Linked DNA regions of Mus musculus. The protein of the gene in region 3 interacts with the protein of the main gene of each other region in a biochemical or structural test. Links are inferred from orthologs where the notes say so. Each region holds a gene or a part of one and is shown on either strand. Other genes may lie near its edges.

The links.
Region 1: of the proteins of Ptpn3 (region 3) and Erbb2, one has a biochemical effect on the other in vitro, tested with the Homo sapiens proteins (2 studies listed by IntAct, with this or other methods). The link is inferred for Mus musculus from reciprocal best matches to the Homo sapiens genes PTPN3 and ERBB2.
Region 2: the proteins of Ptpn3 (region 3) and Rps6ka1 interact in a test that uses a peptide from one of them, tested with the Homo sapiens proteins (2 studies listed by BioGRID and IntAct). The link is inferred for Mus musculus from reciprocal best matches to the Homo sapiens genes PTPN3 and RPS6KA1.
Region 4: the proteins of Ptpn3 (region 3) and Scn5a form a complex in vitro, tested with the Homo sapiens proteins (2 studies listed by IntAct, with this or other methods). The link is inferred for Mus musculus from reciprocal best matches to the Homo sapiens genes PTPN3 and SCN5A.

The regions. Positions count from the first base shown.
Region 1 is NC_000077.6:98,423,664-98,430,731, reverse strand, and holds part of Erbb2 (receptor tyrosine-protein kinase erbB-2 precursor), read right to left. Parts: intron 5,993-7,068; coding exon 5,873-5,992; intron 5,636-5,872; coding exon 5,509-5,635; intron 3,830-5,508; coding exon 3,756-3,829; intron 3,673-3,755; coding exon 3,582-3,672; intron 3,477-3,581; coding exon 3,277-3,476; intron 2,819-3,276; coding exon 2,686-2,818; intron 2,597-2,685; coding exon 2,506-2,596; intron 1,909-2,505; coding exon 1,748-1,908; intron 1-1,747. UniProt on the Homo sapiens protein: Protein tyrosine kinase that is part of several cell surface receptor complexes, but that apparently needs a coreceptor for ligand binding. Essential component of a neuregulin-receptor complex, although neuregulins do not interact with it alone.
Region 2 is NC_000070.6:133,861,341-133,868,408, forward strand, and holds part of Rps6ka1 (ribosomal protein S6 kinase alpha-1), read right to left. Parts: intron 5,890-7,068; coding exon 5,783-5,889; intron 5,060-5,782; coding exon 5,022-5,059; intron 4,566-5,021; coding exon 4,423-4,565; intron 4,092-4,422; coding exon 4,021-4,091; intron 3,774-4,020; coding exon 3,685-3,773; intron 2,731-3,684; coding exon 2,666-2,730; intron 2,411-2,665; coding exon 2,308-2,410; intron 207-2,307; coding exon 76-206; intron 1-75. UniProt on the Homo sapiens protein: Serine/threonine-protein kinase that acts downstream of ERK (MAPK1/ERK2 and MAPK3/ERK1) signaling and mediates mitogenic and stress-induced activation of the transcription factors CREB1, ETV1/ER81 and NR4A1/NUR77, regulates translation through RPS6 and EIF4B phosphorylation, and mediates cellular proliferation, survival, and differentiation by modulating mTOR signaling and repressing pro-apoptotic function of BAD and DAPK1.
Region 3 is NC_000070.6:57,236,546-57,243,613, forward strand, and holds part of Ptpn3 (tyrosine-protein phosphatase non-receptor type 3), read right to left. Parts: intron 4,305-7,068; coding exon 4,241-4,304; intron 3,156-4,240; coding exon 2,983-3,155; intron 1-2,982.
Region 4 is NC_000075.6:119,487,534-119,494,601, forward strand, and holds part of Scn5a (sodium channel protein type 5 subunit alpha), read right to left. Parts: intron 5,582-7,068; coding exon 5,528-5,581; intron 4,654-5,527; coding exon 4,516-4,653; intron 4,033-4,515; coding exon 3,928-4,032; intron 2,487-3,927; coding exon 2,216-2,486; intron 1-2,215. UniProt on the Homo sapiens protein: Pore-forming subunit of Nav1.5, a voltage-gated sodium (Nav) channel that directly mediates the depolarizing phase of action potentials in excitable membranes.

The DNA.
Region 1 (7,068 bases), on a different chromosome or scaffold from region 3:
GAGGGAGAGGGAGGAGGAGGGGAGGGATGGGGAGAGGAGAGGACTGGAGAGATGGCTAGGAGGTGAGAGCACTGACTGCTATTCCAGAGGGCCCAGGTTTGATAATCCAGCACCCACATGTCAGCTCACACCCCTCCATAACTCGAGGTCCAGGGGGTCCGACTGCCTCTTCTGGCCTACACAAGGCACCAGACAGATCTTCATGCAGGCAAAACAATCCGCACTTTTAAGTCAGCTTGATGGAAGCTACTGCCATTTGGGAAGAGGGAACCTTAATTGAGACAATGTTTCCACCATTCTGGCCTGTGCAAGCCGGTATAAGCCTGTGCACATTTTCTTGATTGATGGTTGCTATGGGAAGGCACAGGTCCTGGTGGGCAGTGCCACTACTGAGCTAGTGGTCCAGTGTACTGCAAGAAGGTAGGCTGAGCAAGCCATGCCGTGCAAGCCAGTAAGCAGAGTCCGGTCGCATCCTCTGCATCAATTCCTGCCTCCAGATTTCTATCTTGAGTTCCTGCCTCAACTTCCCTGGATGGGACTATGATGTGGAGATATAAGTTAAATAAACCCTCCCCCGCCAAGTTACTGTTTATTGTGGTGTTTATCACAGCAGTAGAAACTCCATACACACACACACACACATACACACACACACACACACACACACACACACACACACACACACACACACACACACACCTAAAAGAAAGAAACGGCCACACGTTGGTAGTTGGCAAGATGACTCAGCAGGTAAGGGTACTTGCCACCACACCTGACAACTGCATTCAATCCCTGGAACCCATAGGGTGGAAGGGAAGAGCTGACTCTTTCAGATTGTCTTCTGACATCCACAAAGTCTCCAGCACTAGGGACTTGGGGAAACAACTCAAAGTACTCACAGTAGAACCGCCAACAGTATTATTTTATATCTTATGTGTAGTTTAAAATTTCTAATGCACTACTGTACAGATTTAGTTCGGTTACATTATTTATTTGTGTGTGTATGTATGTGTGTGTTTGTGCTTGGAACTTGGAAGGCATGCATGTGCCACAACAGGCATGTGGAGGTCAGAGGACAAGCTCTGGGAGTTGGTTCTCTCCTTCCATCATGTGGGTCCTGGGAACTTAGGTGAAATCACTAGGCTTATGAGCAAGTGCCTCTACTTACTGAGCTATGTGTTAATGTGTTATTTTTAACTTTATTTACATGAATGTGTGTGAGTGTGTGTGTGTGTGTGTGTGTTGTGTACACTTGCAGAGGCCAGAAAAAGACATCAGATCTCCTCAAGCTAGTTATCAGGCAATCAAGGGTCTCCTGTAGTGTGTGTTAGGAACCAAGTTCCAGCCTTCTGAAAGCAGCGAGTCCTCTTAACTACACAACCACCTCTCCAGACCCTAAGGTGTTATTTTTTTGTAATTAGAAAAGAGATAAAAATTACACCTCCGGCTGAAGAGATGGCTCAGTAGTTAAGAGCATTGACTGTTCTTCTAGAGGTCCTGAGTTCAATTCCCAGCAACCACATGGTGGCTCACGACCATCTGTAATGGAATCCGATACCCTCTTCTGGTGTGTCTGGCGAGAGCAACTGTGTACTCACATACATAAAATTAATAAATCTTTTTAAAAAAATTACACCTCAATATAAGTGAACGTAGACTTCTGCCCCTTTCACAACAAGAGCTCAAAAAAGGCTCCCCCCATGAAGGCCCTCCTTTCTACAGAAAAGACTCCACTCCCTCCACTCACGAGTGGGTGCAGTTGATGGGGCATGGCTGACATATGCCCTCCTCATCCGGGTACTTCCAGATAGGCATGTAGGAGAGGTCTGGCTTCACACCACTGGGGCAGCGAGCCACACAGGAAGATGAGTCCTTGTAGTGGGCACAAGCCTCACACTGGTCAGCCTCCTGGACAGAGAGGAAGGGTTTGTGAGGGTTTAGGGATGTCATCGTTATAGCAGAAGGATGGGGCCCCATGTCCCCAAATCAGATGCACTGCCTCCCTGATCCTGGAGTAAACATCCCTGCTCTCAACAAGGAAGTGAAGGCGCCCAGAGAGGGACGTGCGTTCCCTAAGGTGTGACAAGTGACAACTATTATGTACAAAGGTTTTATTCCATGCTTGGGCACTGTGCCAAATCCTATTTAATTCTGTTCTCACCACACCCCAACCAGGGAGGAACTATTACAACATTCACCTTATAGAAGTGAAAACTGAGGCTGGAAACAGGGCCTGCATTTGGTCATTAGCGTAGCCACTGCCAAAGACACAGGCCTTCTTGGAACCTTGTCCTAGCCTGAAAGGGCTCCGGTGTCAATAGCAAGAAGGGGTAGCCCAGGGTCCACAGCATAATGTGAGCAGTTCCTAGTCCCCAGTCCCAGCCTCCCTGATCTTCCCTGCTTCTGCTCTCCAGTGAAGCCTTCTCTGGGAATATTTCACCCTGTAGCAACTGGATGGACCCTCAGCTCGTCCCTCCCCCAGCCCCGAGCACACCAGCACCTCACCGATCCATAGCAGGTCTCCGAGCTGTTTTGAGGCTGACACTCGGGGTGGCATGGCAGACAGTGCTTGCCCCTCACATACTCCCTGGGGAGCCTGTGAGAGAGGTGGGTGTAGTAAGGGGTTGGGGTGGGGCAGAGTACCCCGAGTACCCCTCAAGCCACCCACTCCTCTGCAATTCGTACCCCTTCCATACTCGGCACTCCTCCACACACTCCTGGCCCCGGAGGAACTGACTGCAGTTGACACACTGGGTGGGCCCTGGCCCCCAGCAGTGCCCACGGGCACACAGTGAGTTACAGACCAAGCCCTCAAGACCTGCAGCAAGGAGAAGGAAGTGTTTGGCTAGGCTCAGGTCTAAGGGAAAAAGCTGTAAGCATGGCTCCAGGCTGAAGGGTTAAGGGTTGGTGCTAGAACATGCAAGTTCAAGAAACAGGGGAGGGATGTGGATGCCTGGCAGCACGGCAGGACACAGCTGGAAGCCATGCTCAAGGCTAAGCCATCCATAGGCAAGTGAAGAACCAGGCTGTAGCCGGGCATGATGGTTCACGCCTTTAATCCCAGCACTTGGGAGTTAGAGGCAGGTAGATCTCTGTGAGTTTGAGGCCAGCCTGGTCTACAGAGTGAGTTCCAGGACAGCCAGGGCTACATAGTGAGAGCCTGTCTCTAAACAACAACGGGGCTCTAAGACATGATGCACAGGTTATAGGAGGCTGCCGCCAGAGGCTACTGAGACTCCTCTGTGCCAGCCCTCAGTGCTGGGCTTCCTGTCTTACCACATGCCTCTTCTGGCCGGTTCCCACTGTGGAGTAGGGCCTGGTGCGGGTTCCGGAAGAGCTGGTCCCAAGGTACAGTGTTTACAAAGCAGAGATGGGTGTTGCGGTGAATGAGAGCCAATCCACTGCCCAGCTCCCGCAGTGAGCGTAGCCCCAGTGAGTGAATCCCCAGGCCTTGCAACGTCAATGAGTAAGCACCACTGTGGAAATGGGGGCTTCCAGTCACAAGAAGGCACCTACTCTAGCCACCAAGGGCCTCAGGGCATGTAGCCAGACCTCCTAGCCTTCCCCTCCCCACCACTTACTCATGGAGAATCCGTCCCCGAATGACCCGAAGGTTCTGGAAGACACTGAGGTCTTGGAAGCTCTCTGGCCATGCTGAAATGTATAGGTAACCTGCAGGCAGAGGAGGGGGCTTGGTATGTAGAAAGGTCCAGAACTCCTAGTTCCTGCGAAGGAGGCCAGAGCGTACAGCCTACCTGTGATCTCCTCCAGGGTTTCGAACACTTGGAGATGCTCTGGCTTCAGTGGGGCAACGCCGGAGGAGGGGTTCCTAGAGGGACCAGAAGGAGTGGTCAGTAGGGCAGGAGCCCCGGAAGGCCTTGGCAAAGCACTCTGCACCCTCACAAATGCCTTCAGATAGAGCCTATCAAGCCGTTCTCATCCTGAGGCACAAAGCCCAGGGTCAAAGTCTGGCAGGGCAATATTTGTGTCCTTTGGTCTAGAAGTCTGATTTGCGGTATATCCTGCAGAGACACTGGCTTCAGCTGCCAGAGGCAGAAACAAGCTGAACTGTTTGTAGGAAAAGACATTTGAAAATGGCCCAATATCCATCAGTGATACACAGAACACTGATCTCTGCATATGCTAAAATACAAACACGGGGCGAGGGGTGTCTCGGCATCCATCCAGCGCTGTTCTAAGCGTGCCCACATAAACCGCCTTGAGCATAGAGCCATGATGGTCCTCACTGCACACATGAGGCACTGAGGCACAGAGAAGAGAGGAGACGGCAATGAGGCTAAGCCATAGAGCTCTGCCATACAAACATGAGGACCTGAGTCAATACCCAGAACCATATAAAAGAGCTCATGTTAGCCGAACATAGGACTGTAATTCCAGCACCTACAGAGACAGGCAGATCTCTGAGTTTGAGACCAGCTTGGTCTACAGAGTGAGTTCCAGGACAGCTAGGGCTACACAGAGAAACCTTGTCATAAGGAGGAGGAGGAGAAAGGGGAGGAAGAGGAGGAGGAAGAGGAAGAAGAGGAAGGAGAGAAGGAGGAAGAGGAGGAGGAAGAAAAGGAGGAAGAGGAGAAGGAAGCAGCAGCACCCCGTATGTGATACTGAGCTTGTAACCCCAGCACTGGAGAGGTAAAGACAAAACAGTTCCTGGGGTCCCCTGGTTGTCATTGTAGCCTGTTTTAGTGAGCTCCAGGCCAGAGAGGGACCCTATTTTGAAAAACAAGATGGACAGCTCCTGAGGAGTCATACCTGAGACTGTCCTTTGAACAAAGGCACACACACAGATAGACAGACACACAGACACAGATACAGAGAGAGAGAATAACAGTCAAATAAACAGAGAGGGACAGAGACAGACACAAATACAGAAAGAGAAAGAATAACAGTCAGATAGGCACAGACAGACAGACAGACAGACAGAGGTAGGTTTTAAACCCAAGTCTGTGCCCTGTTGCCTGTCTTTGCTGGCTCCCACTCGACAGCTATTGTAAGAACGAGTCAGCTTTGAGGTCTGAAGAGATGGCTCAGCAGGTAAGAGCATTGACATCTCTTCCACAAGGCCCAGCTTCAATCCCCAGCACCCACATGGCCGCTCAAACTATCTGTAACTCCAGTCCCGGGGCTTCTGACGCCCTCACACAGACACACGTGAAGATTAAACACCAATGAATATAAATTTTTTTTTAAAAAAAGAGGTTCCCCAAAGCAAGGGATGCATGGCAGTTTCCATGAACCACCTCCCCAGTCAAAGCTGTCACTCTGTGTCCACCAATATACAGAAGGCCTGGAAGAACACACACAACTTTAACAATGCCCCCTCCGGATGGTTTGATCACCACATTACGTCCCCGCCTGTGGATTAAATGATATGTATACCTCCAACTCCATGCCCTGGCTCCCTGTGGACTCCCACCTGCCTCCTGTGTATTCTTAGCCACAAACTCTGGGTCCTCCATGACACCACCTCAGGCCACTGTGTACCCTTACCCATCAAAGCTCTCCGGCAAAAATGCCAGGCTCCCAAAGATCTTCTTGCAGCCAGCAAACTCCTGGATATTGTCACTGGTGATGGCCCTCGCCCCTCGGAGGTGCTCCATGCCCAGACCATAGCATACTGAAGGAGAGGGAGGTGAAAAGGGGCCACCTCAGGATCACATGCACACCAGAGACCTGTCCGCTGTCCCATCATGAAGTGACAAGCCTCCTCCCTATGTTGACAAGAGAGACTGGGGAGACTGCTCCGGAGAGGGGCAGGGGAGGCGACAGCAGAAAAGAAGTCTAAGCAAGAGTTGGGCGGACTGGACTGGAGTGGCGGTCGGGGCCGCAGCTGGTCTTGGAATGGGGTGGGTACCTCCAGCACAGGGCTTGCTGCATTTCTCACACCGCTGTGTTCCGTCCTCAGCTGTGACCTCTTGGTTGTTCGGGGGACAGACCAGAGTGCAGGATCCCACTTCCGTGGAGAGGTAGTTGTCTGTACAGATTTGGGAATGTACATCCATGTGCCCTAGCCTCTACCCAGTCATCCTCGATCAAGGCTACGATGCCCAGCTCTAAGGACATCTCCCACCACTCCTGGAAGGCCCTCTGTGCGCACCCGAACTCAGGGCAATCATTTGCTCGTCACTACACTCCTATGGGGACAACACTGTTATTTGCATTTAGCAGAAAGGGAAACTAGGGTACAGAGCTATACAAGTCACCCCCAATGCTGTGCTACTAAAGTAACAGAACTGGGATTTTTTTTAAGGAGTCCTCGCTATGCAGCTGAGGATGACTTAGGACCCCTAAGCCCACCACCTCTACCTTCCAAGTGTCAGGGTGACTGGTTTGTGCCACCCAGGAACCAGGACTTAAACCAAACAATCGGCCTCCCCGCCCCCCCCCCCACACACACCTTGTCCTCTCACCCTGACCACAGAGAAGCATAACTAGACCCTAAAGGCCACACCCCACCACCCATAAAAGGAAGGAAAAGAGGGTCCCCAGGTCCAAGTCCAGTCCCTAAGTGTCCACAGGGCTCAGGGTTACTGCCACACAAAGCCCTACTCCATGCAGACGGAGGACCAAGACACATTCAAGAGTATTTAGTGCAGGCTAGGCATTGTTCTCAAAGATTCACCAACATGAACTCATTCAGATGCTTCGCAGTTATCAGGATGGGACTAACAGTGCCCCTATTTCACAGATGAAGAAACTGAGGCCCAGCAAGAAGAAGGCAGTAAGACTATTAAACGGTAGGGGACAGGTTTCAAATGCAGTTCCCAAGTCTGGGCTCTTTCTCTGCCACCTGTTATGCAGCTGTTAAACAGAATGAGGCAAAAACCTGGGAGTGGCGGCGCACACCTGTACCCTCAGCCCTTGGCAGGAGCAAGGCAGGAGGATCAGAAGCTAAGTGTCATCTCTGGCTATATGTTAAGTTCAAGGCAAGCCAGGTTAAGCTACGTGAGATACTGACTTTAAAAGGGGGTCGGGAGAGATGGGCGAGGCAGAGACAGGAGGCTCTCCATGAATTTGAGGCCAGCCTGCTATACAGCAAGTTCTAGAACA
Region 2 (7,068 bases), about 77 Mb from region 3:
ACCGGCCAGCTCCACAGCCTGTGTTCTTAGCTCTTCTGTTTAGGGCAACCGAGCAGCAGGGCCCAGCTCCCTCACCTGTACCACCGAGTGTAGGGGGGCCTGAGTGGTCCGAGGCTTGCCGTCGTCCTCCATCAGACCAGTGGCCACGAAGCTGAAGCCACGGAACAGCTGATGGGCACCAGCACTGGGAGGGATGCCTGGCGAATCTGTCAAGCAGAGGACATGGGCGTGAGCGGGTACCCTTGAAGCCTGCAGTCCAGGACAGGGAGACTGCCGGGACCGTGGCCTGCTTCAGCAGGCAGCCCTGGAGGGAGCATGTTGAAGGCTCATCTATCCCAGGCCTTGGCCTGTCTGTTAACATGTGTGGCTCAGTGGTATAGCACCTGCCTACATCCTACAATGTAGGTTCGATTTCCAGCATCACGAAAAAAACACAAACACATTCAGTGTTAGATCTCCATGAAACATGGGACAAGTCTTAGACCCGTGGCTCCTCCCAGGGCTCTCCACCCAGCCCTCAGCCTAAACCTCTCCCTCCCAGTACTGGGCTTCCTCTTCTCTTTCCTCAGCCTGATAAATAACTCAACTATTTTGGCTACTCTGGTCTCTTGACCCAGGCCACCCCTCTTGGTCACCGGCCCCTCTCTTGTTTCCCCCCCTACCGTGGTCCAGTTTAGTCTGCCGGCCATGTTCCATCAGAACTCTTCCCTCTGCCTGCCTTCTCCCCTGTATCTACAATAAAAACCCCCTCTGTGCTTTGGGAGGAGCCATGGTCTCCTCTGACTTCATTTTTCATCCACATACTAAATGAATGTGTAGCTGTGCATGACGGCACGTGCCTGCAATCTCAGCCCTCAGCAGGCAGAGTCAGGATTGCTCCAGATGGAGGCCAGACTGGGTTACACAGAGAGTTCTAAGCCAGCCTGAGCCACAGAAAGAAATCCTGTCTTAAAAACTCCAAATAATCAATTAACAAACACAATATAAGCAAACCAACACGTGCTTAGACTGGTCCAGACCTGTCACGTGAAGACTGTAAGAGCCCCACACCCAGCCTCCTGCTCAGGCCAGGCCCAGGATACCTCTTCCCACCCTCCCCACCTCAGGTCCATCCCCTTCTTAGGCCTATTCTCAGCACAGCTAGAGGGACAGTTCCAACCAAGAAGTCTGGGGCCACCTGTGTTCTACACTCATCAAGGGACTGCTCACCCCACCCCCACCCCCAAGTCTGGCAAGTGAGATCCACGTGGCCTCAGCCTCGTTCCTCCCCTTTGGGAACTCAGTCCCGATGAACTCCACACACTCAAGAGTGTCTCGGTGTCGCTACACACGCCGTTCTCCTGGATTAGATAAGCCACTCCTTGTCCATCATTCAAGTCTTAGCTACCTTCCTTTCCCTGAGAAGGCTACCTGATGATGTCGCTCCTCTGACCCTCTATAATCCTTCCCACTGACACCTGAGCTACATGGTTCTGTCTGGTTCACAATCCACCATTCTCACTACGGCTGGCATAGAGCGGGGACCTGGTATGGACTTGGCAGATAAATAAGGGGAAGACAAGACAGCTGTGAAGTGATGCGCTTCCAGTCAACAATGGTGTGCAAGTTACACAGAGGGAACGATCACCCTCTAAGAAGACACCTCAGGGGCTGGTGAGATGGCTCAGTGGGTAAGAGCACCCGACTGCTCTTCCGAAGGTCCGGAGTTCAAATCCCAGCAACCACATGGTGGCTCACAACCATTCGTAATGAGATCTGACTCCCTCTTCTGGAGTGCCTGAAGACAGCTACAATGTACTTACATAAAATAAGTAAATAAATTAAAAAAAAAAAAAAAAGACACCTCAGAACTAACACACACCTCCCCACCCACTGGCAGTATCTGGCTGGACGTCAGGTTTCCCAGCTCATCCAGCCTGTGGGCACCGTCTCCTCTGCTCTGCCGAGGCCTCTCCATCACAGGTCTGCCCGGTCAGATTCCTCATGTCTGATGCAAGTGCAGGCCTTGTGTGTTTAGTGGTCCCAGTGGGCTGGAAGATGCCTGGGGCAGGGGGTCCTGACTTTCCTGTTGTGGCCTAAACCACCCCCACACTTCAGTCCCTCACCGAGAAACAAAGCAGCCCACAGAAGCCCATGGAAGTAGTCGGGTCGCATGAAGTCAGGATGGAGCATGAAGCCCACGGGGCCAGATACTGCCTATCTACCCACACACCTGGGCTTCCAGAATCCTCGATCACCTCTGTAGCCCAGGGTTCCCCAAAGATCTGCTACCCAGCCCAAGACAGACAAGTCAGGTCAGGAACGTACCCCTGGGTGTGCGTGACGTGAACTCGGTATCAAAGTAGAAGGTGTCGTCGGGCTGGGCCACAGCCGGCTTGAAAGGGGGCTTGATCTCACGCCGGTAGAGCTTCTGTAAGGTGGGGTATATGCTCTGGTCACCATGGTGACCCCACAGCCTGCTAGCAGCCCCGACAGGAAGAGTAGAAGCTATGCTGCTCAGTGGATAACAGCAAGGGAGAGCAGCCTTCAAGGGCGTGAAGTCACCCCTCCAAGGGCATGTTAAGGGCTGCTCACCTTCTACCTCCCACAGCTGAGGCCACGGTTGGCAGGGGCCCCTCCCCCACCCTTCCTGCGTCCATCACAGGGCACAGGCACGGGCACTCACATTCCAGTCAATGGTGGAGTAGAAGATATGTCTCTTAATTTCCTCTGCCCCATCAGGGCCCGAGCCTGAAAGAAGCCAAATGAAGCCAACCTCAGACACCCATTCTGTCTTCCAGGCTCTGGACCAGCTGCTACCGTGGAGGGCAGCAGGGGTTCACCATGTCCTGCGTCAGTACCCACTACCCTGAAGCCTGGAGCCCGCTCAGTATTTCCTATGTTACGGAGCTTCTGCTGGTGTACTGAGGAAGGAGGGGCCAGGCAGGACGGGAAGCCTGTCCAAGCATTAATCCTGACAGAAGCTGGACTGACTTCTTTTGAGATCTAACAAGGGCCTTCATCCACTCCCGCCACAGGCCCCCCTCCTCTCTGCCCTTCTTTTCCTACTGCCTCTCGTCTTTATCCCTGAGACAAACGCTCATTCGATTCAACCCAGGGACCTGGACTGGACCTTAGCTGGTTGTGATCCAGATAAAGCCAGCATCCAAAAACCTCGGCAAATACTGTATACTTCACTGAACAACAGGAATGTCCTTCTCTCATCAAAGATCCCCGGGAGCCAGGGCAGAATCAGTGTCTCCACTGACACAGGAACCTGGGGCTCGGAAAGGTGGGGTCCCCTGCCATAGCGCAGGCTCATAAACCGTATTCAATCCCTCAGCAAATGTTTACAGTACTGCTGGGTGCCGGGCAGCGGGGACAGACACAGCTAGGCCTGAGACCTTTCTCGCTCCTAAGCTCCTGCGCCTTCCCTTGAGCCAGCAACCTTGGCAGAGAAGCTGTGTGGGGGCCTGTGTCCTTGTCCCTGAGGGGGTATGAATGACTCAGTTCCTGCCTTCCCCCCACACAGGTCACCCTCCCAGCACCATACATGGAACCAGAAAATAGGGTGGCCAGCAGCATTGTCTGCTCACACAAAGGACAACAGCTCCTTTCAGTCCTAGATGTGGCCCCGTGGCCTAGGCTGCAGCTGTACCCTGATCCTCACCGCCATGTCCCCTCCTCTGAGCTGGGGTTGCTTACCAAGCCGATTGGCAGGATTCCTCTTGAACAGGGCCCGCAGGAGGCTCTGGGCTTCCGTGCTCAGAAACTGGGGCATGCCTAGCTTCGCCCTGGAACAGCCACAGGTCTCATCAGGGCTGAGCCCCACCCAGGAGTCCCAGAGCCCCTTCCCTTTCTCTTTTCCAGCTCAGTCCAGAGAAGCCAGCCACTAACTCACCTCCCAGAGACATTAAGAACACTTCCCACTGGCCCTGGCAGACAGCAAGGGTCTGCAGACAGGGAAAAAGCAATTCACTGGCCCTGCAACTGGGGTGGGATTAGGGAGAACTTGGAGGGCCAGGCAGTGTTGGTGCTTACTTCAAAATCAAGGTCATGGTCTCCTTCCGGTCCTTCCCCTGGAAGGGCAGGGAGCCCGTCAGCATCTCAAACTTCGGGGGGAAAAGGAAACATATAGGTGTGGCCTTGTTCTCTGTCTCCCACACATCCCTCCCCCTCCTTCCCGGGCTACCCTGCTGCAGTCCGGGGATTCTTGCTGGCCTGTTAAGACTTTACAGTCTAAGTCTAGCTGCAGCAAGGCCTGTGCCTGCCTCTGCCCCCCTCCCAACCTAGAACCCAGGAGCAGCACTAAAGCCAGAGGAAGGAAGCAGAGGAGAGTTCCCAAGTTAGGTGAGGGGTGGTACTTCAGGCAGGTGGACTAAAGCCCGCGGCTCTTCGAGGGAAACAAAGTACAACAGTGTGCAGCAGAGCCCGGACACTCACCATCAGCACCCCATAGGACCACCAGTCTGCACTGTGGGTGTGACCCTGGCGGTTGACAACCTCGGGCGCCATGTACTCCACTGTCCCGCAGAAGGAGTAAGCCTTCTTCTCATGGTCTATGGCCTCCTTGCTCAGGCCAAAGTCTGCAGCATGGAGGGCAGAGAAGTCACTTCTAGGATCCCTGCCACGCCCACGGCTACCACACTTAGCTCCTCTGACCGGAGCCAGGTATCACCAAGGTTGTCAGTGAGAGCTCAGTCTGCTCTGAGACCTAGGGAGCCTCGAGAGATGGCTCAGCAGTTAAGAATATTGGCTGTTCTTCCAGACAACCCAGGTTCCATTCCCAGCTCCCACACGATGGTTAACAACCAGGTGCAGGCAACTCTAGCCTCTTTGGGCAACACATGCATGAGGTACAGATACAAATATAGGCAAAACTCCCATACACACACAAAAAATAACTAAGTAACAAGGCCTAGGTTTTTGGCATGTATGTAACTGGCATCGTCTCCCAGGAAACACAGCCATCAGCTGAGACCTATCAGACAGAGCCTGGTTATCCTCCCCAGAGCCCAAAGGAGCAGGTGCCCTTCACTCACCAGTGAGTTTGATGTGGCCCTCCTCATCCAAAAGGATACTGTAACAGAGAGACAGGAGTCAGGAATCCTTAGCTGCAGGCACTGTGCAGGTTCTAGCAGTAACCTTGGGGTGGAGAGACTTGGGCCTGACCAGAAGAAGGGTTTGGTCCAACTCTACTCAAGGAAAAGTGGAAGGATGGAAGCTCGGGAAAGTAACTCCTTTAGAATGGCTAGGGAACTTGTCTTTCTTTCAATTCTACTACATTGTACAGGCTGGCTTCGAACTCCTGGACTCGGCCTCTTTAGCAGCTGGTACTACAGTTGAGTACCGCAATGCCTGACTTGGGGTGTGTCTAACTCTACCACCAGAATCTATCCCAGCTCTCAACACAGCACCGGAAGGCAGTGCATGCGAAACCCCCAGGATAAGCGGATGGAGAGATGATCTTTAGAGCTGGGTGATAGTAACGCAGGCCTTTATTCCCAGCACTTGGGATTAAAGCACTTGTCTCGAAAAACCAAAAGGAAGGGGAATGGAGTAGGGCCACAGCTGGGCTGCAGCCTTTAGTAATAGCAGTACCGACCAGGCAATTCCTAATTACCTAAAGTGAACCTGCTGTTGGCCACAACCTGCGACAACCACCCATCCCTCTTGACAGCCCCAAAGAGAGATAAATTCCTGGGAGCGCCACAGCATCTCCCAAATGGCCCTGTTCTAAAAGGGCCCAAGAGCAGTCCCTGTGCCCAGGAGAGATCAGCAGTATGGCAGGGGCTTTGCTCACTTCTCAGGCTTGAGGTCTCTGTAAATAATGCCCAAGCTGTGCAGGTGGTCCAGGCCCAGTGCCAGCTCAGCCAGGTAAAACTTCACATCCTCCTCTGTAAACATGACCTGCAACAGGGAAAGACACACCCGTCAGCTGGCTTACCCCGTTCCCCAGGAGCTGGCCTACTGAGCAGTCAGGGCCTCTTGGTGTGGAGGGTCTACCCTGGGGACACAGTCAATGCAACACATCTTTCTCTAATACACAAGTCACTCCCTGCGCTACAGCTTGGAAACAGCAAAGAATGGAAACACCCAGGAATAAAAGACTGGAATAAACTGCTTCCCCCGGGGGAAAATGGGCAGTTCTGCAGCTTTAACGCAGAATAAGGAGTTTGCTCACATCCTGATGCAGAACAGTCCGAGACACACTGACACTAGAGGCCAGGCACAGAACAGCGGGCAGAAACTATGATGTCTCATATAAGAAAAGAGGGGTAGGAGCTAGAGAAAGTACCCAAGGAGCTAAAGGGAACTGCAACCCTATAGGTGGAACAACAATATGAAGTAACCAGTACCCCGGAGCTCTTGTCTCTAGCTGCATATGTATCAAAAGATGGCCTAGCTGGCCAACACTGGAAAGAGAGGCCCATTGGACACGCAAACTTTATATGCCCCAGTACGGGGGAACGCCAGGGCCAACAAGGGGGAGTGGGTGGGTAGAGGAGTGGGGGGAGTGGGTATGAGGTACTTTTGGGATAGCATTGGGAAATATAAATGAGGAAAATACCTAAGGAAAAAAAAAGAAAAAAAAAAAAAGAAAGGAGGGGTAGACATGTATACAGAACATGGACAGAACGTATATACAGAAAGGAACATTAGAAGGTTAAAATAGAAACTAGTAAGAAAAATGTTTATTTGCAGGGGTAGAGAGACTGTGTAGTGAGGAGACTTCACCATGAGTATCTGTCTTTTGAATCATGGAAATGGACTGCCTAATTAAGCATTAATTACTTTTCGAGACAAGGTTTCTCTGTGTAGCCCTGGCTGTCCTGGAACTCACTCTGTAGACCAGGCTGGCCTGGAACTCAGAAATCCGCCTGCCTCTGCCTCCCGAGTGCTGGGATTAAAGGCGTGCGCTACCATGCCCAGCTAAGCTAAGTTTTAAATACTGAAAGTATGGTTCTGAGAGAGTGACATTCTGTGGGTAAAGACTCTTGTCACCAAGTCTTGGAACCCCTATGGTGGAAGCAGAGAATCTACTCTTACAAGTTGTCCTCTGGTCTTTGAATGCACACTTATGTGTTC
Region 3 (7,068 bases):
CATCACCAGGAGACCTATTCCCCCGAGGTCAGTTATATCAGAAGCCACATGACCACTGATTAAGGCTGTCAAATTAAAGTTAGGGAAGCTGGCAGCAAGGCTTAATGTGGCAGATCCCTAAAGCACATGTCAGGGGCTATTAATAGAAATTTGGAACTGTGCCACTGTCCCTGGAAAATAATGAACAGATTCGTCTTTCACAGAACCTATCAGAGGGCCCAACACACAGACCTACAGATGTATCTCCAGGGCTGGGCTGGCCGTGGTTTCCTTGACTGCCAAATGATCAGAAGGGATAAGGGCTGGGGAGATGGCTTAGCTTGGTGCTTGCCACCAAGTCTAATGACTTGAATTCAATCCCCGAGTCCCACAGGACAGAAGAAAACTGACTTCCAGAAATTATCCTTGGCCTACATGTGTTTTCCTCCATACCACCTGCACATACATACATACATGTGAAATAAAAAGAACAATTTAAGAGTCAAAATTAGAAAAATAATATATGGAGCTGGTGAGATGGCTCAGCAGGAAAGAGCACTGACTGTTCATCTGAAGATCCTGAGTTCAAATCCCAGCAACCACATGGTGGCTCACAACCACCCATAATGAGATCTGACGCCCTCTTCTGGTGAGTCTGAAGACAGACAGCTACAGCGTACTTATGTATAATAATAAATAAATCTTTGGGCTAGGGCAAGCAGGGACTGAGTGAGTGGGGTTGACTGGAGAGCAGAGGTCCTAAAAATTCAATTCCTAACAATCACATGAAGGCTCACAACCATCGGTACAGCTACAGTGCACTCATATACATAAACTAAATAAAGCTTTTAAAAAAATTGTATATATATGTATGTATGTATGTGTATTTGGTCAAAATTAACAGTATACTAAAAGATGGTATCAATAAGAAACTGATGACTTGTGTGTGGCAAAATCCCTATGTAACAGGACAGATCTAATGGAGCAGAAGAGTCCCCAGTCCCCTTGCTGAATTCCTGACCCACAAATCTTGAGCTATAACAGACTACTGTTGCTGTAATGTCCAACACAGGAGTTCTTACGTCATAGTAGATGAGCAGGACCAAGCCAGCACCTGTACTGTTTACAGAGGGAGAAGTCTGCAGGGAAGGAAACAGGCAGCACGCTGAAACTCAAGGTAGAGAAGGATTTGAACTCTGTCAACACAGTGTTGGAATATACCCTTTCGGTCCCTCATCTGCCACCTTCCCATCTGCCGCCTGGAGACTCAGGTCTAGGCAGCTCTTCTTTGGAAGAAAACTGCTTCCTTCTAATGAACATGTGTAGCATTACAACATCTGGGTGGGGGCCACACACACACTTCAACAGTAAGGAGGCCCCCTGTCAACTGCAGCCGTCTCACTGAACGTCTGCGACTAGACTGTAGTGGGATTCTTCTTCACACGGGCCATCTGCAGCACAGAAGCTATGCACAGCAGAGAAGCTCACTGGTACTTCTATGCCTTATGATCAACTATATATTTTCATGCTAAACTGACTTTCTGTTTCTTCAACCTGACTTCTTCTGTCTGCAGATCTGACCTGTTGGTGCACCTGAACCTGACCCTGGAACTCTCACAGACAGGGGGCCCACTGAGCTGCTATGGCTATGGCTGCTCTCACTCGCTAGGTTCCTGAGGCGCCTAGTGAGGGAGACCAGGCTTGGAGTGCTCAGGATTACTTCCATCAGGGACGTCCCCTGGGAGGGCATGACCCAGGGAGTGTTCAACCAAGATGCACACATGGCCTCACCAGCTGCAGCGATCTGGGCAGTCAGTCCTGGCGCTGTGCAACAGCAGCAGGTGAGCCCTCTGCAGACAGTGGGGCTATTGCTGGTGGCTGACTGCATCACGCTTGGGAACAGCTCTCATCTGAGGCCTCTGGCTAGCTAGAGGGACCACCACGCAGGAAGGATTCAGTTTCCATGTGGCATCATGGGGACAAGGCTCTACAGGTATCCCTGCTACGTTATTCCTATGGCCTGCTCAGTAGTAGAATATTGAATATAGAAATAGTAGACAGAAATATAAGAGGTAAACACTTTAAAGATAATGTAACACTTTAAAGATAATGTTTTTGCTATTGGTTCCTAAGAAACAATTCCTCCCCTACCAGAGGCAATTTGCCACTTACTAAATCATTACATTACCTAAAGACTAACACATAGTAGGAAAGCCACTAGAACATTCTTACAAAATTTCACATCATACAATAGCTCATACTTGAGCTTCATTTAGAAAAATCCACATTAACAATAATCAATCACTGTTTTGAAAAACCAGCAGCAAATGGTTTAGAAATCCTAGCAACTTGATAAACAATTTCTGCTGTGTCTTCTACAAAGCAGGCTTAGAATAAACACAGTTAATTTAGAGACCCAAAGGATATTATTTTAAAAATTATAATGTGCATATGACATATATGTACATTTATTTTACTGTTCTTACCACTAAGTATTTTGAATATCACTCTTATAGGTAACATTAATCTCTTAGGTTCATTACAAGAAACAAATACAATTAAATATATGCCCTCCTTTGATAAACACTAGGTAATTGTCAATTATAATTATTACTTTGTAACTATAATAGGTAATATATCCTCTGTTCGTTTTATAGGGTGCCTTATGGATTCACATTGTGGGGGAGGGGTTGGTCTAGTGGCCTCCAGCTGTGAGGAGCCTACCATGCTGGCACCAGGATGACACTCAGTGACCTTTATTGGACAGGGCGTGGTGGCAGTTGCAATACTAGCTGTCTGGGAACTCAGACGACAGCAGGGTTGAGGGTGTGGAAGCTAACCCTGGGAGAGCAACACGCACCCGAGTGTGTACTAAGAGCTCAGCCTCCCCTAGAGACTCAGCCGCCACTCAGGGATCTCAAATCTGGAGTCCAGCCCCAGAGCTGCCTCTAGCACACATCAACATCACAGGATAATGTGGATGGTCCCTGGAAGTAGACTCACTTTTTGGGGTTCCTGGAGCCTAGAGTCCAGTACTGAGAGAGAACATTCTTTTCCTGAGGTAGTAACTTTTTTGCCTGAAAGAACGAATGGTGTTCGACGCAGGATTTCCACAAGTTTTTGCAAGATCGGTAATTCAGCATGTTGAAGGCCACGATATGTTCCCTGGATTCAGCCTGGGAGGAGGAACAGGAAAACGGTAGGATGATAAAAGTGTGTCCGGCTCGCTACCCATCTGTAAAAGCCGGGGAAGATGTGACAGAGGAAGGGCGCAGGCCTCCAGACACCTCAGATGCACCCCAGTGTCCTAGGAATCATTTTTTGGAGCAGAGCTGTGAACCCTCCATGGGTGGGGTCATAGAAATAGCCTGAACCCATGTCTCCTCACCGTCTGGGGTCCTCCACAGTCACTGTTTCAAACCTGCTTATAGTTCAAGAGAGGGCTTACTTGCTGCTGCCATGTGAAAACTTAAATCTCAGCTTTTGTGAACATCTCTTTCCTGAAGAAATATTCTCCCACCCTGACCCCCTGTGCACTAGAGGTGGGGGGAGGACAGTCAGACAGTCTAGGTTCCAGTCCTTGGTACTTTGAGCTTCAGTGATCCCATTTCTAAGGGTCCGTTCTCTGTGTGGGGCCAGTCTAAGGGCATATCATATTTGAAAAGCTGGGGCAGTCGGTGACAACTATGCAGCATAACAAGACAGGGCGTGGTGTGGAAAGGGCAGGCGCCTTGGTTCAAATTCCAGCTCCTTCACTCTGAGGCTGTGGGAGCCTTGGCTTCTTTACTGAGTGTGCTTGTGCTGTGGCTAAGCAAACAAACAGAGTTGTCTAGGATCCTGCCAATTCCTCCTGTAAGACCCAGTCCGTAACAAGCTATCACTTTTGGAACTTAGCCATGTGGACGCTTCCTGCTCTGCTCTGCTAGGTGCCCAAACTGGGCCCTTTTGTCTAATCCGTACAGCTCCCTGAGAGGTGGGCACTCATTACTTGAGCTTCTAGAAACGAGGGAATATGGACTAGAGGAGATGAAAGAAAATGCTCAGCTGTTAAAGGGGGAAGAGGCAGGGTCTACACCTCGAGTCTGACTATAAAGCAAGTTCATTCTCCACACAGGCACCAACCAACTCACAGAGATGGCCACAGGGTCTGAAGACCTGACGGCCACAATCTTTTCTTCCTAAAGACACAGAAAGCAATCCCCGAGGAGCTGAGAGTAGGACAAACCTCAACAAAGCAGCAAACACAGCAAGTGGAACTCACCTGTTTTTGCCGCTGGTGTATGAAGAACTTTTTCCTTTTGAAAGAAATTTTGAGTATGTTCACCCTGTAAAAAGCAAAGCAGAACAAAACCACGCATAGCACAAAAAATAAAGCAAGGTGCAAATCAAACAGAGACATCGGGGCTCAGCCGGGCTATGGCTGACCCTCTTCTGCACGGGTCCTCTATTTCATCATCCAGAGACGGCAGACCACTGGGAGTCTGTCTTGGCAGAACTCAAGGAGCTGACCGAGCTGGATCTCCACGGGGCCTCTGGATTGTGAGGCAGCTTTTAAATAACCAGAAGCGTGGGCCATGCGCACTCTTTGCTGTAAGTCTCTTTGTGACACTGAAGCCCTGCAGGAGCTGGTGCCTACATGGGGGAAGACAGCTGAGGGCAGTGTGGAGCAGTATGGCCAGGCCTGGATGCGCCCCAGCTCTGTTACTTAACAGCCACGTGTGCATAATACAGAATAAAAGGCACTCGTCATCACCAAATATATTTTCATATACCAGGCCACTGCCAAGGGCTTTATAAACACTGTCTCTACTGGGTTTTTGCAACAGTCCAGAATAGTATGTAGTTATCCTCTATAAGAGGAAGCTGAGGTGCAGAGATGTCACTGTTTGGAGTCACTGTTAGAGCTCAGCCTCCAAAGCCTAGGATCTTGGACCCTATGATATCTGCTGAGTGGTGGCCCATGACAGCCTTTCTCGCCACGGTCTTATGACAATTTAGATGGAGTAAGCATGCCAAGTTCTTATAAGATTATGGTACACCACTAAAACTGATGAATGAAACCAGTGTGTGTGTGTGTGTGTGTGTGTGTGTGTGTGTGTGTGTGTGTGTGTGTGTTCTGGTGGGTGCATATGTGGAGGCCTTCGATGTCTTTCCTCAGGTGCTGTCCACCTTACTCTGAGACAGGGTCTATCTCTCATTTGACCCTGAGCTCACCAATCCCATGAGGCTAGGCTGGCTGGCCAGCGACCTCAGAGGTTAGCCTCTCTGACCCACCAGTGTTGGGATTACAAATGTGTGCCACCACGCTCAGTGCCAGCTCACCTTTTAAATAGGTTTTATTCACCATGACAAGCGACTATAATCTACACAGTACTGGGGGGAAGGAAGGAAATCGACTGCTCTCTGGGATCATACCAAGACCTTGCTAAGAGCATCCTAGAACAGAGACATTGAGTAGATAAAGGGAAAGTTTATTCAAGTGATATTTCCCCAGCGGAAGATAGACAGACAGACACACAGAGCACACACACAGCACATTTCCATTATAAAACACCCATTATAAGCAATCTGCTGGCAGATACATTTGTTTAACTAGTGAATTTTGGGAATGACTGCAGGCCAAACCAGAAGGCTCTTATGTCCCGTTCTTCTGCAGTGACCACGTCTCCTCCCTAAGTGTTGAGGGGGCAAGCACAGGAATTCCTATTTCACAGGACTCGGGAGAACCTGCTCACCAGTGTGTGAGTTCCCACCCTTGTCTTGCTGGGCACAGACTGCTTGTGCACTACTGGCTTCATATGGGGAGGGGGGCCCTGCTGGTGCCCCTGGTTCAGAGGGTTCTGCTCAGTGCTTTCAACTCTCTCTCTCTCTCTCTGACTGTGTTCTTCACTAGAGCAAATCTGAAGGATGCAGATGTGGTTTCCAGACTGAAAGTCCTACATCAGGCTGCCTACTGCCCTTCAGTCACAGGAACTATGAAATGGACTGTGTGTCTAGAGGGACCAAGTCCTGTGCCAGGTCCCAGGGACAGAAAGAACAAGACAGTAAGGAGGTACTGCAACCTGGGTATGTACAACCTAACGAAGGAGACAGGTGTCAAATGATGCCCACAGCCATAGCCTCTTGACCACTGCATGCAGGAGAATCTTGCTCCCATTAGAGCATCTACCATTACGTCTACTCTGGTGTCCTGTGAGGCTCTCCATGGCCAAGTCGCTCTCTAGTCGCTGGCTAAGGCACCGCATGCTCTAGCCTCAATCACCCACCTACCCTGGACTGACCACTGTGTTCTCCCTGTTCCCTCTCTGTACCTTCTTTCTAGAATGTACACTGTGAGGCCAAAGCCTGCTCTCTTTAGAGTCACTTCTGTAGGCTCTGGGCCCTTCTGTACCCTGCCCTTGCTCACTCTCCAGGGCTGACCTCTACTGGTCTCCCTTGTTAGAGTTGGGGTCTGAGGTGCTTGTGTTTGAACACTCCATCCCGTTCAAGTGTCCACACGTCACCTGCACGGCATTCTGGATCCTCTGAACCGTGAGTCAGCTTTGCTTCCCTTGAGTCGCTGCTTTCTATTATTGTGTCACAGTGTTATAAAAAGTAGGTAATAGAGCACGGGCATCAGAGACAGGCTTTCACTGGAGCCAGTCTGAAGCTGAAGAATAACCAAGATGATCAGAACGAGCCCCTGAGGAGGTGTGCCGAGAGGCCCTGTCAGGCCTGACGCAAAGGCTTCTGTTTACAAAGCTGCTTAGTGAAGTTTTTGGCTTCTGGATATCTTTAAGGATATCCAGAATCAGATATCCTTATCAGGAATCTAAAGTATCCTTAAGGGACCGAAATCTGCCTCTAAATGTGATGTTCAGAACCTGCTTAAGGGACCCTCGTAGATTCAGCCACACATGGAACTAGACTCCGGTGGCATCTGGGTTACAGAACTAGAGGATTAGAGGCACTTAGAGAAAATCAGGCCCGCGCCCACCGCCTGGTCCTTTGTTCCAAGCGGCCCAGAGAACTCGGCAGGCCACACCCAGCTGGTGAAGCCGTGGCTGGGGTTTCCTGCTTCCAGCGAGGGCTCAAGAAGGTCTTATCTGT
Region 4 (7,068 bases), on a different chromosome or scaffold from region 3:
GAGCCGAGAGAAGTTAACTAGCCCGAGTGACAAGCTGGAACAAGACCTAGACGCTCTCGCTCCATGACAGCTCTTGGCCACACTCTGGGCTGGTCCAGCACCGGGACCAGCAGGTGATTCGGAAATACACGCTGTACCTCCCAAAGCCTCTGAGACGCCAGTGGTCTGCTCGAGTTGACATCCTGCATCCCTTACACTGCTTTCTAGCCCCATGAGGCACACTGCCATCCTTACTGCCACCCAAGTGGGGCCTTGGGACATTTCCAAACCTACCTCATGTTCTAAATGCCTGCCCATCACTGCGGTGAAAGAAGAACCTGCCCTAACCTCTGATAGCATTTGCCAGAGGTACATGACATCTATGGCAGAAAGGCAAAGTCAGAATGACCCCAAAGACAGATGTGTACTTATGGGTGTGTATGTCAAGTATTGACAGCAACAAAGACAAATTATACGGGGTCAAATTAGACCTCATTAAGATAAAAAAACAAAAAAACAAAAACAGAAAAACCAAATCACTTCTGCTTCAACAGGCGTCACCAAAACAGCAAAGCAGAGAGAGGGAGGAGATATTCTTGATTTGTACATTTGATAAGGGATTGGAATCCTGAATAGATAAAGTGCTCTTAGAACAAGACAATAAATACGATAAATTACTTTAATTTTAAAAAAAGAATAAAAGTTTTGAGATAGCTATTCTCTATGCAAGATAAACAGATAGCTAGTAAACACAAAAGAGACATTCAGTGTCATTAGCCACCAGGGCATTAGAAATCCAGACACCAGTGAGGTAGTGCCATATCATCAGGATGGCCATAAGCAGCCATATGGCGGTGAGGAGGTGGATTAATGGGAGCTCTGACCACCAATGGTGACTGGGCAAATGGTGCGGCCACTTTGGAAAATGGTTCGGCAACTCTTGGATATTTCCTGGCTGCCAGGAGCTGAGGGGGAGCAGGCATGGAAAGAGGCTAACATTATCCACTGCTGATGGTTTCTCAGCTCTGTGACAATCTAGTCATGTTCTGCGTAACAACCATCAAGTCAATGGCAGACTGTAGTGTAGACCCTCCTACAGGGTCACACTGCTCGGTAACCTGGCAGCCGTCTTTGTGTTAGGTAAATTCTGTGATGTTCACAAAATGAGGAAATCGCCTAATGACACATCTTCCAGAACATCTCCCTGGTTAAGCAGTGCCTAATGATATGGAAACCCACAGAATGCACACTGTCAAGGGAATTTTAAGTTAACCTTCTGTGAATTTTATGGTACATGAATCACGTCTCAATAAAGCTGTCATATTAGAATTTGGATTCTAGCAGAGTGGTGGTGGTGCATGCCTATAGTCCCAGCACTTGGGAGGCAGAGACAGGTGGATGGATCCCTGAGTTTGAGGCCAGCCTGGTCTACAGAGCAAGTTCCAGGATGGCCAGGACTACACAGAGAAACCCTGTCTAGAACCCCTCCCCTCAAAACAGAATTTGGGTTTGGGGCTGAAGAGACATGGTGAGGATCTTGTCTGTGTTACTCTCTCATCCTGTGTTGTCCCCCCTCAGGAAAACTGCAGGAGGCAGGTGGTTCTGTAACTTAGAACACATGTTGGACTGTAGAGTTTTCCATCTCCAGAGATGATTGATGTCTTCTACACTATCACGTGATCTATCTCTCATTCTTAGGGACCTGCCTTGCCTCTTCTTCCTTCAGCCTCGGCTGCAAGCTTCTGTTCGGAGGGTAGGAGAGTCTCTGTAGTGGCCATTCCTTTTTCTAGCCTCAGCTTTAAGTTTTCTGAATAGCCACAGAGCTGTGTCCTAGGGAGGGTAGGGTCAGGATGGGATACTGAGTTCTCTTCAGGTAAACTTAGGCCTGAATGGGCCCTGACAGTCAAGTTCTTTTTAGAGTGATGCATAGGTCTGTGCATGTGTGTGCAAGCATGCATGTGAGGGGATGTACATGTGTGTGGTATATTGTGTGTGTGTGTGCATGCTTGTGCATGTGTGCTTATGTGTGCTTGTATGTGTACGTGTGCCTGCTTTCGTTTGCTTATATGTATGTGTGTGTGTGTGTGTGTGTGTGTGCTTGTGTGTGTGTGTCTAAGGGGAAGTCAAGGAAGACATAGCAGATGAGGAGCTACGGCACTAAGTAGAGTGCAGAGGGCTGGATCAGACACACATGACCCGGGCAGGACTTCCCCGTCCAGCCAACTTGCATACCCACCAACGATGGAGAGGATGACAACCACGAAATCGAAGATGTTCCAGCTGTTGGTGAAGTAATAGTGGCGCAGGGCAGCCATCTTGACAATACACTCTCCTGTGAAGATGGCCACGAAGAGCAGGTTGATCTTGGCCAAGATGTTGACTTTTTCAGGGCTCTGATCATCTGTCTCTACCATCATGGTCACCATGTTTAAACAGATGAGGAACATGATGGTAACATCGAAGGCCTGCTTGGTCACAATGTCGAATATGAAACCCTGGTACTTGTTCTGGAAGAAGAGGCGAGAGGCTCAGTGCACTGGGATCCTAGAAAACTTGCCAGTCAGCCCAGACAACTTACATCCTACTCACCCTTTGTGAGACTACAGCCCCCAACCCTCACCACACAGCATGTGTAGAGGAGGAAACCATGGGGGTTGACCAGATGGCCTTCCTGCCTGTGGACTCCATCTCTTCCAGGCAGAGGCCTGGCCCCCGGCTCCCTCCTCTGCCAGTCCACCCTAATGCACCTCCAGGTAGATGTCTACCCTGGGTTTCAGCACACTATCCATGTGCTGCTCCTGGGCCTCATAATCTGGAGATTCAAGGTCAAATTTAAACTTCAATCCTAGCACTTGTATATGCCTCCAGATTAACATATTTTCGACATGTTATCTTATGGAGTAGATGTTATTTATTCTATTGAGTAAAATTCTATCTATGTGTTTCTAAAAACATCTTACTTTAGAAATGTGCACGTGTATGGCTGCATATAGGTATGCACACACGTGAATGCAGGTTAGGTGCCTGTGGGATACAGAAAATGTTATTGGACCCCTGTAGCTGGAGTTCCACACAGCTGTGAGGAAGCTGCCTGATGTGGGTGCTGGTAGCTGCAGTCAGGTCCTCTGCAAGAACAGAACACAATTCTAACCACCCAGCCATTCTCCAGCTCTTCTGTGTGCCACCAATTGTAAGGGAGCCCGGATGATCTGAAGGAAGAGGGAGGATCAAGAATGATGTTCATTCCTCACCCCCTTGGTTTGCCACCCCCAATCTAGGAGGGAATAGGATGCATAGGGAGGAGGAGGAGGAAAGCTCTGTCCAACTGGCTTGTGGATTAGGGCCAGCTCACCTAAGTACTTTGAACAAGTCTCCCTTTTTTTTTTGTTTGTTTGTTATTTTCAGGACAAGGTCTCAATACGTAGCCCTGGCTGGAATTGAACTCACAGCGATCCCCCTGCCTCTGCCTCCCAAGTACTGGCAGGTACCGCCATGACCCAACTCCTCATCCCATTTTCAAGAAGAATGGCTTGAATGGGCCAAGAAAGTCAGGCTAGCAGAGAGCCCAGCACCACCCTGGCCCTACTCGAGGGGACAAACCCAGTTCTCCAAGGAGCCCAGTGTTCAGAGGATGAGATTGTGAGTGGGGGGGAGGGATGTGAATGCCCACTACACTGCCTGGAAAGAATATATACCACTGAAAGGGAGGAGGGGGCTCACTGGAAGCAGCTGAGTTCCTGTGAGTATGTAGTGTGCCCTAGATGTCACCACCTGACCTCATGCCTTCCCCCTATCTGCGTGAGGCTCGGACTTCTGTGTGGGAGAGCAATCCCAGAGTCCCTCTCTGCTGAGCAGCAGCCTGAAGAGCCCTTAATGGGAGGCTTCTCTGATGGAGGAGCCCAGGGCTCCCGTGAGACCCTCCTGACTCTGCCAGGTAGCCTGGCTCACCAGAGGCCGTGGGATGGGCTTCTGGGGTTTCTTGGAGCCCAGCTTCTTCATGGCATTGTAGTACTTCTTCTGCTCCTCCGTCATGAAGATGTCCTGGCCCCCTAAGTATAGAAAGACAGCACCCGCATAATTTTGGGGTTTTCAGGACCTTGCTTCCCAAGTGAAGGTAACTTCCTGTCTCAAAGGTATATTTGGAGAGATCCCCCCAAATCTGCCTTTCCAGGGTCCCCCCATCCCTGTTTTCTGGTTTTGTGGCCTGCAGATCCAGTGTTCACCTGAGCCTCTCCCTTGGCTCAGCTCAGGCAGGCCTAGGCTCCTCTCTGAGCATCACTTAGTTTGGCTGCTGCTAATCAATGGCTTTTCTGGTACATCTCCTTGGGCCTCTGCACAGTCTCACCCCTGAATCTCTTAGCTAGATGAGGGCAGGCGGAGACCCACTGAAGTCCCCTCTGTTCCTCATGGCCACCTCACACCCCTCCCCACCCTATTTCATCTGAATAAAGAGGTTCATCCCCGAGGTCTGATGGGGACCTCTGGCTCCCCGTCCCCTTCTGCCCCCTCCCCTGGCGGAGCCAGTACTCTACGTATCTTTTTCTTCTGCTGGTTGAAGTTATCAATGATGACACCAATAAACAGGTTGAGGGTGAAGAAGGAGCCGAAGATGATGAAGACGACGAAGTAGATGTACATGTAGAGGTTGTCCTCCCACTGCGGCTGCTCTTCATACTGCGGGGAGAAGCCAGGCAGGAGGCGGTCACACAGGCGGGAGGGATGGAGCCACAGTGGGGCTGGTGTGTGAGTGTGCGGCTGTAGTGAGGCCATCAAGTGCATGCAGGTGTGCATGCGTGTGTGTCTGTGTGTGTCTACGTGTGTGTAAGTACATGTGTGTATGTGTAGAGGTTGTCCTCCCACTGCAGCTGTTCCTCTTACTACGGGGAGAAGCCAGGCGGAGGCGGTCACACAGGTGGAGTGGGACTGTGTGTGTGCATTTATGTGTGTCTCTGTGTGTGTTAGAGCTGAGTGGAGAAGATGATGGCAGGCAATGACAGGCTAAGGGGTGACCCCCATATCTGTGTGTCCAGGCCCTGGGTCCATAGGGGCCTGGGTGACACTAAGCTCTCTCTCGGTCTTCTCCCCTCAAGCATCTGTATGACTGGGTGTGGCACAAGGACCAAGGAGAAATTCATCTCTGCCTGCTGCTTCCACCTGTCCTGAGCAATGAACAAATCATGATGGGCTGGATCTGGTGGGATCGGAAATGTGTTTAGACTGGGGACTGCATGAGAGATCCCACAGCCTTGCTCCAGGGCCAGGCCTGAACACTAGGAAGTTGAACCTTAGGCATGCTCTGTTCCATCCACAGGCTGGGCTTTCAGGCCGGGCGGCCAGGAGGCCCACATACTGGTTTTGTTGTGGGCTACACACACATAGACACACACATGCACACGCATGCACACACGCATGCACACATGCATGCACTTGATGGCCTCACTACAGCCACCACCCCCCCCACACACACACCAACCCCACTGTGGCCCCATCCCTCCCACCTGGGTGACCGCCCTGCCTGGCTTCTCCCACACAGCTGGTGGCAACCTACCCCTCTGGAGTCCACAGCCGCATACATGATGTCCATCCAGCCTTTAAATGTCGCCTGTGAGGAAGAGACCATGAAGGTCATCAGATTTGGTGATCTGCTTCAGCTACAAAGAACTCCCATCTCAATTAGGCCAGGATCAGCCTCCTACAAGAAGCAAGCAGGCCCCAGCCCACCTGTTCAGTAGTGCTCAAAAGGCTGGGTGGCCTAGGGGAAGGCCTCAGGTAGGGGCTGGGGATGGAGGAGAAACACCATGAAGGCCATGTTAGCCTTCTCAGTTGAGGCCTCTTGTCTGGTAAGGCTAGGAGATGGTTCACTGCTCAAAAACATACATTTCAGACTCTAGACCCCAAGGCTGGTCTGTGTCCTGCCGCTCAGAGGACCAGCATCTTGCCTGTAATGACAGATCCTTTCTACCACTGTTCCGGTGAGGGACTAACAACTCGCTCTCCGGAAGGAAAAGAAAAATCCCTACTGTATTTGCCGATTTCTCTGATGTAAATGTTCCCAGCGCCGTGCTGTGACCGATGGGAAGAGAGGCAAGACCCACAGTGTTAACGCGCACACAGCACAGACGGCAGCCCCCCGGGCGGTAAAAAAGCACGCCAGGCTCATGTGTTTTAGCATCACTTAGTCATAAAGTTTGGTTTTCTCGTAAAGGTTGTGTTCAACAACCAGCTTGTATCATGTCTGCAAATGTGACCCTCAAGTCCAGTGAGCCGGCATCAGCAGAACCTAGCACACCTCACAAGGCTGCGGCCGAGAGGGAAGGAGGCTGCGTGAAGGAGTGGGGGCTCTGGCATTGGCTCTTCATCGTCTGTACAGTTGGGGCCCACTGTGAGAATTCAAAAGGAGCTCAGGAGACATTCGTGGTGGTGAGACCAACTTTCCAGGGGAGTCCCACTGGGTCCCCAGCAAAACCTAACCCTTCCCCAGGCCTCCCCTGGAGCCACAAGCTTGGTTCTGCCTACGCTCCCCCTCTCTCTTATTTTAAGGTTTATTTTTATATTTGCACACGTGTATGTCTGTGTTGGGGGTCTGCGCATGTACATAGGGGTACCGTACCCTCAGGCCAGAAGAGGGTGTTGGGTCCCCTGGAGTTGGAGCTAAAGGTAGCTTGGCGCTGTCTGACATGGGTACTGGGGACTTAATTCGGTGTTCTGGAAGAGCAGGAAGCACTCTCAGCTGCTGAGGCATCTCTCTAGTCCCACTAGTATTCTGTGTCTAAGCGTTCTCCCCCAACCTTCAGACAGGGTTTCTCTGTGTAGCCCTGGCTGTCCTGGAACTCGCTCTGTAGACCAGGCTGGCCTTGATCTCAGAGATCCTGCCTGCCTCTGCCTCCTGAGTGCTGGGATTAAAGGCAGGTGCCAACACCACCTGGCTAAGAGTTCTTTAATTTTTTTTTTTTGTTACTAAAGAGTAGTGTGTGTGTGTGTGTGTGTGTGTGTGTGTGTGTGCGTGTGCATGTGCGTGTAGGCCAGAGGTCAGTATCAGGCATCTTCTTCAATGGTTTTTCACGTTATTTTATTACATTTATGTGTCTG